Linked DNA regions of Drosophila melanogaster. The gene in region 3 interacts genetically with the main gene of each other region. Each region holds a gene or a part of one and is shown on either strand. Other genes may lie near its edges. The genes, in order: bnl, sv and seq.

The links.
Region 1: of seq (region 3) and bnl, changing one suppresses a phenotype caused by changing the other (phenotypic suppression), as found in Drosophila melanogaster (one study listed by BioGRID).
Region 2: of seq (region 3) and sv, changing one suppresses a phenotype caused by changing the other (phenotypic suppression), as found in Drosophila melanogaster (one study listed by BioGRID).

What each region holds. Positions count from the first base shown.
Region 1 is NT_033777.3:19,833,171-19,838,830, forward strand, and holds the start of bnl (branchless), read right to left. Parts: upstream 3,648-5,660; 5' UTR 3,092-3,647; intron 1-3,091.
Region 2 is NC_004353.4:1,086,765-1,092,207, reverse strand, and holds the start of sv (shaven), read right to left. Parts: upstream 3,411-5,443; 5' UTR 3,146-3,410; intron 1-3,145.
Region 3 is NT_033778.4:13,186,856-13,192,643, forward strand, and holds the start of seq (sequoia), read right to left. Parts: upstream 3,232-5,788; 5' UTR 2,706-3,231; intron 2,399-2,705; exon of another isoform or gene 2,233-2,398; intron 1,054-2,232; exon of another isoform or gene 971-1,053; coding exon of another isoform or gene 539-970; intron 465-538; coding exon of another isoform or gene 126-464; intron 68-125; coding exon of another isoform or gene 1-67. Other genes in the region: Kdm4B (lysine demethylase 4B), read right to left, coding at 1-67, 126-464, 539-970.

The DNA.
Region 1 (5,660 bases), on a different chromosome or scaffold from region 3:
ATGCTAACAACAAAGCAAATATCGGTCGCCAGATATATTGACACCATATAGAAAGGAAAATAAAATGAGAAAGTTACTTCTAGAGATAGTCTACATATAATAATTAGTTCCCTAAAAAGTTCAAAATGAAAAACTTGTTAACAAATCATTTTTCATTTGTTAAAATTATTTGCTTAAATATTAGTTTATAAATATTCTTTCTGAAAACAGGAAGTACCCTAGGACTTTAAGTCGGTTTCTGTCACCTTCACCATGTATCTCACCTAAAATGTATCTCTTGCCTTCACCAACACACTGCCCACTGGCAGACTCATCTCCCACACAATTTCGCACATTTATTGTAGTCTAATTAAAAGTCACGCACTTTACGTGCGAAAATTAAAAGGAAAACCGTCGTTTTAAAATAAAACCAACCGAAAACGACGAAATCAAAGACAACGCGACGTATTAGTAATGTGACAAACAGACAGCCAACAAAACAACAATTGCGTCTAGGATATTTTTAAAATGCGTCAAACAACCAAAAAAAAAATATATATATATGTGTAAAAAAAGAAGGAAAACCGTCAAAAAAAAAAGAGAAACAACAAGAATAACAACAACCTGAGTAAAATACGCGACGATTTTCTCGTTTTCATTTTGCCTTTTTGTTGCTCGCTTTTTAACTGAGCGGTGTACCTAAAGCTGTTGCCATGTGCGATCGTGTGTGTGCGTCTCTAAATGTATGCCGCACATTATGTGGTCTAGTGTTCACGCTTAATTAAAACAAACGCTACATTTTTACTGAGTTTCCCGCATTTTCCGCCTTCTTTCGCCGACTTCGGTTGACTTTATATTCCGAGTGTTATGCGCCACTTTTGGGCAAAAAGAAAAACAAACCGCAAAACTATTTACGCACGGCCATAAAACTTTTTTCTTTTGCATGCGATAAGCTTTATCTATCTACGAATTATGATCGTTGTATTTCAAACTTTGGCTCCACTGGGCTTGCTGCCCCATCAATCAGGCACAATTTGTAAATGTGTCACAGGCCCAAGCGAAAAGTTACCCAACTCGTGCGTTTCAGAACTAAACCTGATAATTGGCTGGCTTTATGACATCTGAAGTCCGAAGGCATGCACGACAGTCTCCGGGGAAATATAAATTCCACGCGCAACTCTTTTACTACCAAAATATAAATTTACTTTTCAATTAATTCGGGACTGCCCATGCAATTTAATCACTTCAATTGGTTTTTCTGCATAAACTGATGTCTTAATGTCTAAATTTACGGTGGTCTTTTCAATTATTCAATCGTTGACGTAGCCAGAAACCGTTTCGTAAGCGGTACTAAACAATTAGCCAATTATTTTCTTTGCCCTTGGGGGATATTCATTTTTTAGTTGATGAAATTGTGACGTGAGAACTTTAACGGCAAAGGAAATAAAATTTGATCGGCATTTGAAGAGGCACAATTCAATTATGTATAATTAATGTATGAATCTTTATCGCTTATTTTTGGTTATTAATAAGTTATACAATTAGAATTAGAAGATAAGATTTATTATGGCTTATGTAAGTTAGCAAAAAAGATTAACTTGATTATAATACTAACTAATAGCCCTTATTGCTGGAACAATTGTAAACCAATAAAAAAGTTATGAAAGGAAAGTAAAAGGTAATAAACCAAAATTTTAATATTTTCCCTAGACCCCAGATAAGTTTGAAAAATGACCAGAAAAAATCTGAAAATACCAAATAGTTAATAGCTTCTACAAATAATGACCCTGATTTGAGTTAAGCACTCTTCGCTGCCATTAATTTTGAAGGATATCACCCGCTAGTCCACACAGCCGAAATTCATTCAGTTTATTCTTTATCGCGATCCCCATATTTCGCACTTTGTCTGTCGCTCGGCTGTCCAAACTGTGATCCGGCATGTGATTAGCAGTTGTTGAACCCGACGCATACTAGCGTGCGGCAATAACGCAAATTCGCACACAGATACAAAATACAGATACAGATACGCAGCGCAAATCATCCGCAGGAAGAACAAGAACAACAAGCCAGCTTAGATAATAGCGCACAAATGTTAGATAATAGTCAGCGCCGCCAATTTATAGGACAAAAAGTGCACGCGCAGAGTGAGCAGAAAAAAAGTTTATTGCGAAAAAGTTAGCGAAATGAGATTAAAAGCGCCTGCGTGCGTTTGCAAATAGAGATACGCACAATTCGCATATACGCAGATACAGATACATTTCAAGACGGCGATAAAGATTCGCAAATGTATATGCGTTTTGCAAAAAAAAAAACTATAAATAATCCCAAAGATCGTGTGCTTAAATTTATATGAATTTCGCTTTCATAGAGTGGGTTCTCCTAAGGTCGTTTGCTTTCACCGGTTGGCAAAAAAAAACATTTTGCTACATTTTGTTTGCTTTACCAATTGTTTATTTGGGGCAGATAAACGCGGAAAAGTACTTGGAAAAACTAGGCTGCAAATCAAATTTAATTCGCTTATACCTAAATGCAATCAGATTACGTTTTAAGTGAATATCATTCTGCACAGGTATTGATCAATCAAATCAAATATGAACTAAATTATTTCAATTAGCATGCCACTAATATAAATTAAGTTTTTGCCCATTTGCTTTAGCTTGCTATTTGTTTGTTGAAATCAATTTATTTCGTTTTTATACATATTGCTATTTAATTACTTTCCCTCGTGGGTCATTTAAATACACTTATTACTCGGCCCGCTGCCAAGTGGAAAATGTTTTAAATTTATTTTGAAAGTTACCAAACAAATTGCCACATTTCAACGTATTCAAAATATTTTATTTAAATGCCCAACATTGCGCGACCAAAGAACACTGAAACTCTTTATAAATTTTAGTATTTCAAAACATCAAATCTAATAATACAGAAAAACATATATTTTTTCCGTTCGGCAAACTTGAAACTTTCAATAATTTTAGGCTTGCTTTTGCTAAGCTCCAAAGACCGAAATCCAATGAAATATTTTGCAACATTCGAACAAATACTTGGAGGAACAACAAACTTATTAAAAAAAAGAACTTATGTAACAGCGTTGAAACAGAAAATTACGCACCTAGGTTTTATGTTTGTTTGCTTTTTTTTCAGTTTTACGATTCTTTTTTTGGACGCGTTGTATTCTTCGTTGATTTTCAGAGAGTTGCACTTTGCACACTTTAAAACTTACGGCAACAACAATTCAACATTTTCATAATTTTTTTCTTATATTCCTTTTTCAAACACAGCACAAATCATATATATATATTTATTTTTTTATATATTTTCCGATCTTCGAATTGCTCGCATCTAAACGATTTTTTTTTTTTATTGCGGGCTTTTCAAATTGTAACGACTCTCTTGGATTGCGAAACGAACATTCGTGTTTCAAATTTCCTATCCGCCGAGATTATTGTTTCGATCTCCTTTGAAAACGATTGCACACAAAACCGGAACATCGAGTACGTTAAAACGGAGCGATTACGGACGCGATCACGATGATGGGGTTACGATTAGAGATGGTTAGGATGTGCCAGATGGATCGGATCGGATCGAATGGTAGGTCTGAAAAATTCGAAAACGCTGCGGATGCGGATAAGCGGACTTCGAGTGCTACTGCGACTGCGGACGCTCCGCTCACTGTGTGTTCCCCAAGCGTGCTAGTCAGAGACTGAAGCCATGAGCAAAAAGACCCTGTCGATGAGGCGACGCTTCGTGCGTTCACGCCGAGCACGTTTGCGACGGAACGAGCACGAGAGAGAGAGTGCGATGCGGTGCGGTTCGGCGGGAGGGAGACGGAGAGAGTGAGAGCAAGTAGTGGGCGAGTAAGGTAAACGCCAAGAATGGTGGTCGGTGGTCAGCTGTAGTGAATGGTGGTCGGTCGGTTCCCTAGGTGTGATATGGGGTTTATCTGTTATTCCCAATTCATCCTTCCGATCTGACGAAACTGCGGCTCAAGTGATTGAAACGCTGCCAACTCGTTGATTCATCATACATTAGCGTCAGAATCAAAAACACCGTTATAAAAGATTTGTATTTCGTTCGTTGCTAATTTATACTTTGTAGCTGAATAAATTATAAATTTTAATGAGTGGTTAAAAACTACTGTGTTACTAGCTCAACATTGTACTCAAACATTAAATGCAAAATATGAATCAATTTTTTTTTATTTTTTGTGTACTTATTTGTTGTATTTAGAAAATTATTTTTGGATTTTAAGTAAAACAAACAAATTCTGTTAGTGTTTGGGGTGGTTAACTGTAGTCATCTTAATCATTTATGAAGCCTACTTTTTCTTACTCTAAATATCTTAAACGGTTACATGGTAACTATCTAACCGAAAATTCTGAAATTTTTTGGGCCACAATGTAGGCTACAAGGTGTTATCTGTCACTAGAAAAACAACTTTCGAACATAAAGCTCAACTAAAATGTTCTATATATAAAAAAAAAAATATATATATATATATATATAAAATACAGTAGTCTACTAATTTTTGTTAGAGTTCTGTCACTATAATGAGCCCCCTAAGTCGACGGCGACAAATCACGTGACGGTTTTCAAACAGACATTGTGAAAGGGAGAGATTGCAGTTGCTTTTTGTTTTTGATTGGATTGCGTTTGGTGGCGGTTGTGCTTTTTGGCGCGTAGACCTTTTCCAGTGCTTTTGACGTATTTCGCCAGGTAGCGTGGACTTGCACAAATACCAATTAACTAACAACACAAAGTGCAACAACAAGCGTCACCCAGTACCCTTTATTATTCGGCTAAACATTGCCAGTGAATCAGTCGCGTGGGAAAGCCAACTCACGATAGGTGCTAATCGCATCGTTGTATTCGCACTGATAAGGTTTGAACTTTGACCAACTCATTTGCCTGTGGCTGCAATAAACCACAAAACCTATTTCTGACCAACCGAAATTTTTGCTAATTTTAGATGTTGACCAAAATTTAGCCCCAAAAATACTGTCACACGGCAAATTTAAAAGTTAAGGCAGCTATGCGCGAATTTCGTTGAATACAAGTTTATCTTATCTATTTAGAAGGCGCTTATAAAAAATCACATGGTGCAGATACCCATATGTGTGTATGAATGAACTTCAACTTGACACTACAGAAATTGCAGAAATATTCCGGGGTAGTCGCCTACGTCATTCTTGATGACAGCGTCATTCAGTGGGTGGGTGTTGCCGGTGGAAAGTGCGGGCTTGCTACTGATTGGCAAAGTTTTACATTGTCGCTAAGACTATATAACTGCTATAAAGTAGCAGTTTTGAGAAGGCAATGTTGTTTATTAAAGCCATAAAATATTGTTTATCGTGTCATCTATCGTGTTTGGTACTTACAATTTTTTGAAAATATTTGTTAGATTATGTTGTGTAGAAATGATTTATGAAACATATTAAGAATTTTGTGGACTGCGCTTTTGCTTGTTTAGAAATAGTACCTATGTAGATCTGTCCAAATTGTAAATTTTAAACAGTTTGAATTTAGAATATTGAGTTTAAATATATCACTTGAAGCGCGAGTAAAGCCATGCTAAAGTTGCATACTTCGAAATAAGCAAATTTACTTAGACCCTGTGTTTAATTTAGTTTTCAAATGTATTTCTAAATGCTTGCTCGTAAGTGGCCTAAGTGATTTCGCCA
Region 2 (5,443 bases), on a different chromosome or scaffold from region 3:
AGCGTAGCCAAAGCAGTTGACCTATGCAGTTATGCAAGGAATGGATATGTCTGCACAAAACAATTGTTGGTTAGTTCATCAAATTCTTCTGCTTAAAGTGTAATTAACAACAAATGTTATGTATTTTATTCGGCAATGACATTCAAACTGTTTTAAAGGCAAGCAGGAAATGCTATAGTCGAATGGCTCGACTATCAGATATTTCACTTATCGTCGCGGTTTGTGGGTGATAGAGTGGGCGTAGTCAAAATGTTTGGTAACACAACTAGTAAAATGACAAAAAATAATTTTCTTTTTTTAATGTGTCATAACGCTTCTGAAAGTTTATAGGCGTTGGGTGGCGGACGCCTTCATTATCTAAAATAATCTTGCCGTATGACTACAACTAGAATCTGTAGATCGACTCGTCTAGACAGTTATGAATATATATTTTATAAGATCGAAAACACTTCTGCTTTTCAACGAATCAACACGTAATGGCTTTAATAAATGAACTAAATCAACCGAGCTATATATAAAGAAAGTTTTAAAGTGATACATTCAAATAAGAGCATTTTATGATGGAAAACGCGAAACTATGAACTAAATTAATGTATTTTTATATAAATGGTATATCCCGATTTGGCATATTTATGAATAACTAGAAATTTTAAAGTTGATTTCCTCGACTATCAAAAACTCGTTACTCAGCTAGTGTGAGTGCTGGGAAAAAAATCATACAGCGAAGGTGGCTCTAAAATTTGCTTGTTAATCTTAATCGTTTCTTTCTATTAGAGTTACCTAGATCACTGCGTTCAGACCATGGCCAGATTGTTGATCCTGATCAAGAATGTATGTATTTCATACGGTAGGAAACGATCCGTTCTGCCTGTTACATACTTTTCAACTAATTTTACTCTACGAGTAACAGACCAAATTATGATATTTTTATACCCGTTACTCGTAGAGTGAAAGGGTATACAAGATTTTGTGAAAAGTGTGTAACAGACAGAAGGAAGCGTCTCCGACTATATATAGTGTATATATTCTTGATCAGGATCAATAGCCGAGCCGATCTGGCCTTGCCAGTCTGTCCCTATGAACGTCGAGATCTCAGGAACTATAAAAGCTAGAAGGTTGAGATTCAGCATACAGATTCTAGAGACATACCCCCCTGTTGCCACGCCCACAAACAAAATTGCCTCGATTACATTTTTGAAGAATTTTTGGATATTTTTTCATAATTTTATTAATTTTATTATAACAAAGAGCTTAGACTTATAAGCATTTTTTTAATTTTTAGTAATTTTATTCCACAATATTTATCGCTTAGCCAAAATTTATGAAATTTTCTCTTTGGCATTTCCACTAGCTGCGTAACGGGTATCTAATAGTCGGCCAACTTGACTATAGCAATCTTTCTTGTGATTCGTACCTTTCAATGGCACACATATATTTCACTATTTCACTATCCGCTCTTGTTATCCAGGGCAAGGTGCACTTTCTTCCCGCCGAATGAAGCCTTAACCCGCGCAAACGTGGTTGCTAGCACTTATTCACCTGTTGTTAATTGACCTTTTTGGGACTGACACTCCCCTAAGGGTCAATATAGCTAAATGATCGAGTCAGCTACGTGTATGGGTATGGGAATAAATGTGTTCGTTTAGGCCATCTGCTTTCTTTCTACATTTATTGTTTCCTAAATAGCCTAAAATGAAAGAGCGCTAAAGTCGAGTTCCCCGACTATCAGATACCTATTAATCAGCTAGTAGCAGCAATGTTTAATAACATTGGAGCCATTTTTTTATGAGAACATTTTGGGGTTCGTCGATAAAAATTAGAATGACAAAAAAATAAAATCAATAAAAAATCAAAATACATATAGTGCCTGCGTGGCACAGGTATGAAACAAGCTTGCACCGCTTTTATAATTCACGAGGAAAATTAATTTAAAAAACAAGAGAGAATCCTACAGTCGACTTCCGCGACTATCAGATACCCGTTACTCAGCTAACGCATTTCTTATTTTTTTAATGATAAAAATGAGAAAAAATTTAAAATTTGGTCAAAAATGTGGTCGTAGCAGTCTTGGGCGGCTTGTAGGCGTAACAGCGGGCGTTGCAAAAAGAAAATGTAGATATAAATTTACAAAAACTAAAGAAAATATGAAAAAATATCATTTTGCAAATATGTGGGCGTGGCAGTTCTAAACGGTTTGTACGCGTAAGAGTGGGCATGGCAAATCGATAGAAATTTAGGAAACAAATATGAACAAATTTCAAAATATATTTCAATGGCGTGGCAGTTTTGGGCGTAACAGTTGGCGTGGCAATACCTTGTGCTGCGTGTATGTCTCTAGAATCTGTATGCTTAATCTCAACCTTCTAGCTTTTGTAGTTCCTGAGATCTCGACGTTCATACGGACGGACAGACTGTCAGACGGACACACGGACATACGGACAAGGTCAGATCGATTCGGCTATTGATTCTGATCAAGAATATATATACTTTATATGGTCGGAAACACTTCCATCTACCTTTCAACTTTTCAACGAATCTGGTGTACCCTTTTACTCTATTAGTAACAGGTAGTAGTTAGTTAGTACAAGTTTAGTAGTACAAGTTTTGTAGTTTTGTTGTTGTGTTCGAATTCGAATAAAGGGCTCGAATTCGATATACACATTTTCTTGTTGATAATAATAATAATAAATAAAAAATTAATTAATTTTAAATTTTTTTTATAAATTAATTTTAAATGAATTTGGAAGTATATAGTTAAAAGTCACGGTCGGGCACAGCGGTCCTGTTACGAGGTCATTGGAGCTTCTACAATTTGTTATTTTCATTACCAACTGGTATTCAGGCAGAATAAAACCCATACTTCATTCAATTCAACAAAATTAAAAGTGGGAAAAATAATTGTATTTTCACACACTCCAGCCGAATAATAGCTATGGGGAGCCAGAATTTTTAGTTAAGACAGTCGAGGAAAACAAAGAAAACAAGTATTCCAAGGTCAGGAGCGTGGGTAAATATAAGCTGTTCAAATTCGGAGTATATTTAAAGCCGAGCTCAAGCGCCTTAAGTGTTTAATGTTATATAACTTGGATGATTAAGGAATTATTTTTACCTTAATATATTTAAAACTATGCATTAGTTTACTCACTGAATATTTTCGTTTTATAAAGATTGGTTAACATATAATTGTTTTAAAGAATTTCAATAAATTATTAGTTATTTAGCGTCACTCAGTTAAGGTAGTGAAAACGTTCAAATACGAATTTATACACTAACAACATCACTGAGTCAAGGAATCTAAGCCTTGAAAGGTAAAAAAGACAGCGCGAACCACCTGTTGGCTAAAAATCCACGAAGCAACACGATTTCCAGGTGGATCTTGAAGCGTACGCCAAGAGATCTCGAGCGAAACTAAATTGTTGAATGGCAATGGACGACGGAAGCAGTTTACATCGCTCAAACTCAGCCGACCACTTTTTTGAGTGTGTTTATGATGGCTTATATGTTTGAGTCGCTCTCAAAACTTGGCCCAAGGCGGCTTTACGGTTGGTCGGCTACATTCGCACTCAACTGGCGGTCGACTAATCGGGAGACATAGCGTGTTGTTCGGATGCAAAAGCTGGGTTTGAAATACGATCGCCGCTTCAAACAGAACGAGTGATAGAGAAAAGGAAAGAGAACAAATTAGTTAAAGTCACTGAATGAGAAGGGATGAGATGGTATTCTTGTTTTCCCCTGTTTGGTCTTAATGATCAGAGTGTTGGAGTGCTTATACCCGTTACTCGTATAGGAAATGGGTATTCTAAATTCGTTGTAAGGAAGAAGAAAGCGCTTCGAAGCGTTTGGTATATCCCTGATTATGATCGTTCTTTTTTATATCTGTCAAACCTCAATCTCATAACCCTACAGTCCTGACTGCTTAAAGTTTCCTAAGGTCCAGCTGACCCATATTTGTCTAATTGTTTTCCACTAAAGGCCTATATTTATTGGTTCCGGTTTAATATTCCTATTATTAGATACATATAAAGGTGTTATCTTTTGGCATTTAACAACAGGCTCTCGAAAAGTGAACGCAAGACTATGTATTAAATTTGAAGTAACTACATTTTGTTGAACGGAAGCTAAGTCAGTTTATATACATAAGTAATCAACCCCCTTTTAACCGTCTGGATCGCGTATTGTTACATTGAGTGACCTGCATTCTACAGGTTGACAAGCGAACAAATATTTATACATACATATTTGAAAATGTGTAATATACGTTTGTAAATAAATCGTTTAATATACATAGGTGTACTAGGAGTACAGTCGGCACTACCTTATGATATACACATACATATATTGTTTCTATGCTTCCATGCATACAAAAATAATCCACATTTTCGTCAGAGTAGTGAAACCAAGAAAAAGTTAAATTGGCATCCCTGAACGACGATCTAAAGCAGGCTGCTGGTACTCAAACTATTAAAGAGAAGACGGCGCGTGCCAAGCAATCTTCGACTACCGTTGCAAACTACACGAAAGGGAGAAGAGAGATTACTCAACCGTTTCAAAATTTAGAGCTGACTGGTGTTACTATCGTATAAAAAAAACAAATACAAATACAAAGTTTTTTTTCATTTATGAAATCTATTAGTTTATAAACATACTTAGTCAATATTACTAGCCACTTGTCCTCTTTAAAGGGGACTGAAAAGACATCAGAATAAGATTTAACTTTTATCATTTATGTCAAAATATTGTTAAATATATTGAAAAATCAAAGAGTGACGTTGCCGTGCGTCTTTGTCTCTGGAAGCAACAAGCGGACAGGGTCAGATCGACTCGGCTATTGATCCTGATCAAGATATATATACTTTACATGGTCGAAAACGCTTTCTTCTAACTGTTACATACTTATCAACGAATCTATCTTTTATTCTACGAGTAACGGGTATAATAATATGTTACAGAATTATGTAGTGTACACAACAGAATATTCAGGTGTTCATTTACCGTCATCCCTTGAATTCTTTTGCGATCGAAGGAAATGTCTTGGACGGTTGCCCGCGCTTTATTTGTGAAACACCTGTTAGACCGAACCGGAAAAAACCTACCCTTCGATCGCGCCTCTGTTAATTTTCCTTTCTGCTTATATATACTCCTTACGTGGTTAATTCGTGCATTAGTACCAAAACTGGTGTTAAGTCACTAGCAAAAGTTCAATGATCTTAAATATTATTATTATGTTATTATATATGTATGTATTTATATGAAGAATTCTGACCAATATAAGCTCTAAAAAAATATTCGAAAATTTTTTTTAGTAGCTTTTCATTTAGAAGGCTTTTCTTTGGTTATTCCGCATGCTAAACGGTGGGTAACTATTTGTGTTCATATGTGTGTATGTGTGTATATGTAAGTATATAAATATTTTTGTAGAATTCGCCTGGTAGCTTTTGATATA
Region 3 (5,788 bases):
CGTGATTGAAGCCGGCATGATAGCCGAACGGAAATGTGATCATGATCTCGCCCGCCTCCTGCGTGATCTGCAAGAGCCGGATTTAGTACGGCCACTATGGACAGGATTACTACCGATAAACGCACCTTACTGACGGGCACGTCATGTTGCTTGAGAATCTGTGGTGAAATCAACGTCATCTTGTGGCGCAAATATGCGTTGCAATTCTTGTAACTGGCCGGAAAGTACTGGTTGGCCACCTTCTCCAATTTGCGACCACACTCCGGCGGCACCACATACCACGTCTTTGGCGCCCCAAAGTGTAAGTAATTGATGGAATAGAGATCCATGTCCTCCGTGTGCCATGCAAAGGTCGTCTTCCACATGCCAAAGTACAAGTAGGCTGTGTTCACGCCGTCTATCTGGATGTTATAATCCTTGTTGACATAGTCAAGAATTGTGCCCAGCCGGTTGATGTTCCAGCTCTGCAACGGCAAAGGCAAAGGCAACGAATCATCAGCTAATGCCCAAACCTAAACCCTAACCCTAACGAACTTACATCCTGGTCTGTGTCTGTGATACTTCCGCTGACATCTGCCCCATAAATGGGCGCCACATATGTTATGTTCTTCCAGTATTTGCGCTCCAGATCCTCAAAGTCAAAGTGTTTGGGTGTGGCGTAACGCTCGGTGCTGGCCAACTCGCTAAACTGCTTAACTGTGAGTGGCTTTTTCTGGATGTTAATCTGCTGGTAGTATCCCTGTTTGCCGGTTACCACCTGGCAAATGGGCGCCGGAATTGTGACATTTAGAGCATCGAGATCGGCGTACCCACTGCGACGGGGCACCCATTCCGGCGGAGGCACCACCTTGGCCAAACCGGCTTTGTGGGCACCCTGGGACTCCATGTAGGCCACGTACTTGGGAAAGTCCTTGAACTCCTCCCAGGTGGGTCGGAAGACCTTGATGCGTGGCACCTCTGACATTTTCATTCTCGTCTCAGTTTTTCTCTTTTTTTTCAATTCCGACCTGTTGTCGGACACTTCTTTCACAGCTAGGGTGCTTCGATCTGGAACTGTGATAGAAGCAGCATTAAAACTCCGTACTCCCGTGCACGGCCCATTAATCCCGGGCAGATGCCATTCATGATCAGCCCGTCTGCCTGCCCCATCGCTAAGCGCTCAGCGATCGGATCGCTTGGGATCGGCATTCTGGCTGGCAGTCACAAAACAAACAGAGAAGGAGCGCTGAGGGAACAGCTGCAACTTTTCGAGGTTTTCTTTTTTTTTTTTAATGGGCGCGGCAGCTACAACAGCAGGCAGGCAGGCAGGACGACTGGCAGGAGAATAGAGGCTGGCAGGATATGCAGTTGCCGTTTCCCCCGCCCCTTTCATTCGAGTGGTTTTCCTCATGGGCCAGCCGGACCCGCAATAACCCATAGGAACCCATAAAAAGTGCAATGATCGTTCGTTTGATAACCTTACTAACTACGAGGAAATGTTGTAAATTAAATAAGTATATCAGATTTCATGCACAACCGGCTGAAAAATTGGGAGTTAAAGGAATAAGCGGTAATATGGAAATTATGTATGTTGCCTGAAAATGGTAAATTCGATTCATTTCTTACCACAAAATTATTTCGATTAAATATTAAATGATTTAGTTATGCTATAAATTACAATTGAATTATGCTGATAATATATCGATGATTGTGATAAATGTAAACAACTTTGCCAAAAAGTTGTAAAATTCAGGTATTCGAAATTTAAAAAACTAATTAAAATTAAAACTCCTATGTAAGTAAACATACGAAATATATTTAAACGATCCCCGCAGGATTAGGATAACTTAAAAAATAATTTTACTAATATTGACGCTTTGTCTTCACACTATCACTTAATTAATAGTTACAATTAGCATACAAAATTATTGAACTAAAATTTATTTAAGACTAGTTCGCAAAACTATTTTGTTTACATTTTATAGATCCCAAATAAAATGATTGATGAGTGTAAAACGTAAAATAAAACAAAAGTACAAGTCATGCGTGATTGAAAAATTTCTCTGTGTGTATTTCTGTATACGATAAGCCTCCCAAAAAAAAACACAATAAATCAAGATGAAGGGGATAATTAATTATTGAGCCCCATGACGAACCGTTATTCCCGCGGCAAGCCATTTATAGGGATTGAAAACGCCCAATAAGCAAATGACACAAATCCGGCGACATCTTTTTCCCAGTCAATACCAATACCAATTGTTTTTCCGTTTGTTTTTCCTATTTTCCGTACAAGCAGACTGAAAGCTCTGCAGGCCAGAGGAACAGCAAGGATAACGATAACGAGGACAACGCTGTGCGAGACATCCCAGAGCACTAGATGAAAATTTACGCAATTTTTCGACCACGTAGAAAACTGTACCACCACCCGAGAATTTCAGAGAGCGAGAAGACCAAAACCGAACGAGAGCGGAGAGCCGACGATGTTGGGGAAGGGGAGGGGTAACGGGATAACTGAGAGGGGGGAGCTGACGAGTGCGCAAAACTATATGCTAGTTAACAAGGAGAGAGCAAATATGGTGGGAAGAGCGAGTGAGCGGGCAGGATATACTCGCTACAGAGGAGATTCGACATGGGCGAGTCGCAATGCAGCGAGTGCGTATGCATGTGTGTATGTGTGTTTACGAATATGTGAGTGTGTTTGTGAAAGGACGAAATTTGGAACTCACTTGTGATGTGCTTTGATGGGTTTTTTTTTTAGTTCTGCTTCTCTAGTTTATTCGGTGTTCTCCATGCGTAAATCCCAACAAAATGTCAAAAGTACTTTTATGACTATATGAGCAACTCCAACTGGATGTGACTAACGTTTTGGATGCTGCTGCGTTGCCTTTGTTTGAAGTGATTTGTAGTTTATTGCACATTATTTTTTGTGTATTTGCATATGAAACTTCTGCTGGCGTTTTAACTAACTGTAACTAATTTGCACAATTTGATGTTTTATACGATACACTTGAGCACTATTTTCTGGGTTTTGCAATTCTTGTAGAATGATTTAGCTTTGGTATTATTTTATGTTATCCTGCAACATCTGATGGCGTCGTTGTTTTGCGTTTTACACAGTCTTCGACTTGATGGCTGCTGCTCTCTCTCTTCGAGGATGTTAATTTATATATATGTATATTAATGTGGATGGCTAACTGGCACTCACGACGGGCGCGACATGTCTGAGCGGTCTGAGTGGCAAGCGTCGACTGAACGCCAGTTCGATGCCAGGACGATGGCGACGCAGGCGTCGAAAGAACTCGCTCTTCGCTCGCACTCGCACTCGCACTCACACACACAGCAAGCACGCAACACAGACACGCTCACGCACACACAGTCGCGCCGCACAAGAGCGTTGTCCTTTTAATGCGAATGCTCTGGTCAAAGCATAATGCGAAAGGAAAATTGGTGTAGAGCAAGAGGGAGACGGCGCAAACAAGTTTGACAGGATAATTGTGGATAGGGAAATGCAAGCCGTGTGGAAAACTGGCAGTTTTAATCGCTCCTCCTTTTTCCTCTATTCATTCGTGGATCGAACAATGCCTTTTTCCTCCTCTTTAGTTTCATTGCGAAAAGCAAATGTGGCGAAAGGAAAAATGCATTCGCCATCGCGAATCGTGAATCCATTCGCACATTCTCTCTCTTTCTCTGCATCTCAGTAAGCAGTCAGAGAAATCGCAAAGGACTTAATCCTCATTATGCATTGTCCTGGCACGGATTTCGGATTTTGGCGAAGATCTAATCTAGGACTTTACTGATCCCGGATCGCCAGTGATCGTTTGTAGGTAAACGACAGATACAGAGGCTAGAGGTTGAGGATCCACTTGAGACGGGTCGCAAGGACTCTCTCACTTGAGACGGCTTCGTGTGTCTCGTACTTAATAATTGCATATTTGTATAATAATTGCAAAACCAACAAATAGCGTTCAGAGCAATGGCTCGTTTGGAATAATTGTTTGTTTACTTTTATGCTAGCCAATTTCAATCTAATGCTTTTTATATAGTGTTTTCGATAGATTTTCCATTTTAAATGTATTACACATTTAAGCTTGATCCTGTGAACTCCGTTTGCAGAATTAGTACCATTTAAATAGAATTATAATTTCCAAGCCGATCGCATTATATCTTTTAAATCATAACGCCCTCAACTATATTTCTCAATAATTTCGTTAATAAGAAAATGTCATATTGTTGCAACTGTTAAGGACATTAATTTCCCCCAAGCGCAAAAGCATAATTTAGTAAATCCCCTATAATGTTCAATTTAATGGCATATGCGCTTAGCGAATACAAATAAGCACATCTGCAACTGCATCGAGCAATTATGTGATAGCGTTTCGATAACAAGGTTTCTTGCATCCTGTGTGCAGAAAACCCATACAAAAACCGACGCAAAATAATAAAACAGGACGGGGAGTGAAGGAGAGGAACAAAAAAAGGAAACCGGGCTGAGTAATTACAGCAGCTTGAAACGGTGAAAGGAATGCCCCGTGGTAGTATAATTTACAACATGTCATTAGCCCGGCGACGCCTATGGGAAAATGGAGCTTGGGGGAGCGGCTAACGGCAGGATCAAAGCGTGACCAGAGCACAAAAGAACGGTCACACTGCTCGGCAGGACTTGAAACGAAAGAAACAAAAAGTGGCGGGGTGTCCAAGGATCCTGTCCTCAAAACTTGTCCAAAGCAACTCAGGCATAACCCACAGAGAGAGAGCAGGAGAGAGATAGAGAGAAACAGAGAGAGGACGAGCGGAAAAGGACGAAAGAGAGAGAGCTTGCAGCCAAGCAGCGAGAATGACCAGGCGGCGGCTTCAACTTCCGGCAGGAATGGCTCACACACACACATACTAACAGTGCAGTTGTGTACACAATGTGGTCATTGACTGAACGGTAAAAAGCGAAAACAGGAACCAACAGCAGTAGCAGCAACAACAACAACAACAACAACAACTGCCGATGACGTCGTCGATGAAGAACACACGGAGAACCGCCATAATGCGCGTCCCCTTTTTCCACATTCCCACCGCGCCCCCCTCCAACACCAAACCACTCCGCCTGTCATTTTATATTCCATTTTACAAACACACACACGCACGCACACACATTCGTCCTGTGCCTCGTGTGATTTCACAAGGCATTTCTCTTCAGCACAATTTCTCACAAAATTTCAATTCGAGCTCGGCTTCGCCTCAGCTGCGACAACAGCTACAAGATTATTTATGCTTTTTTCTATGCTTGTTCCTGCCGCTCGTCGTTGTTGTTGTTGTTCTTGTTGTAGTTGTAGCTGCTGTAGTTGTTCCTGCTGCCAGTTGCCTGTTTATATCCTTTTGTGACGCTAAGCACGCGCGACGAAGCCGCACAGTGGGATTTTTACATTTGTAAAAAGTTGGAGAAATTTACTTTCTTTTTAAAATCGACTGATTAAAATTCTTATTTTTTATGTTTATTGGGGATAAAAGAGGGCATTTCCTATTTTTTTTCGTAATTCGTTTGTATTCTTCACCTTACTTAACTACCTAAACTATATGGATATGCATATATTTGGATTGAACAAATTAAACTAGCTATTATAATTTTGATGAGGCAGTTGCCAGAAAGCATGCAACGATTGTTACAAGCTTTGAAGCTTTAGTGGTAATGATTTAAAGGCTTTAAAGGACTTAAAGGACTTAAAATTAAAGACATCCCACTGTGCGGCGAGGACAGGCATCGACCGAAAAGCAAAGCACGCGTCCCCTTTTCGAAGTTTCCCTTTTGTTGTCCTTTATC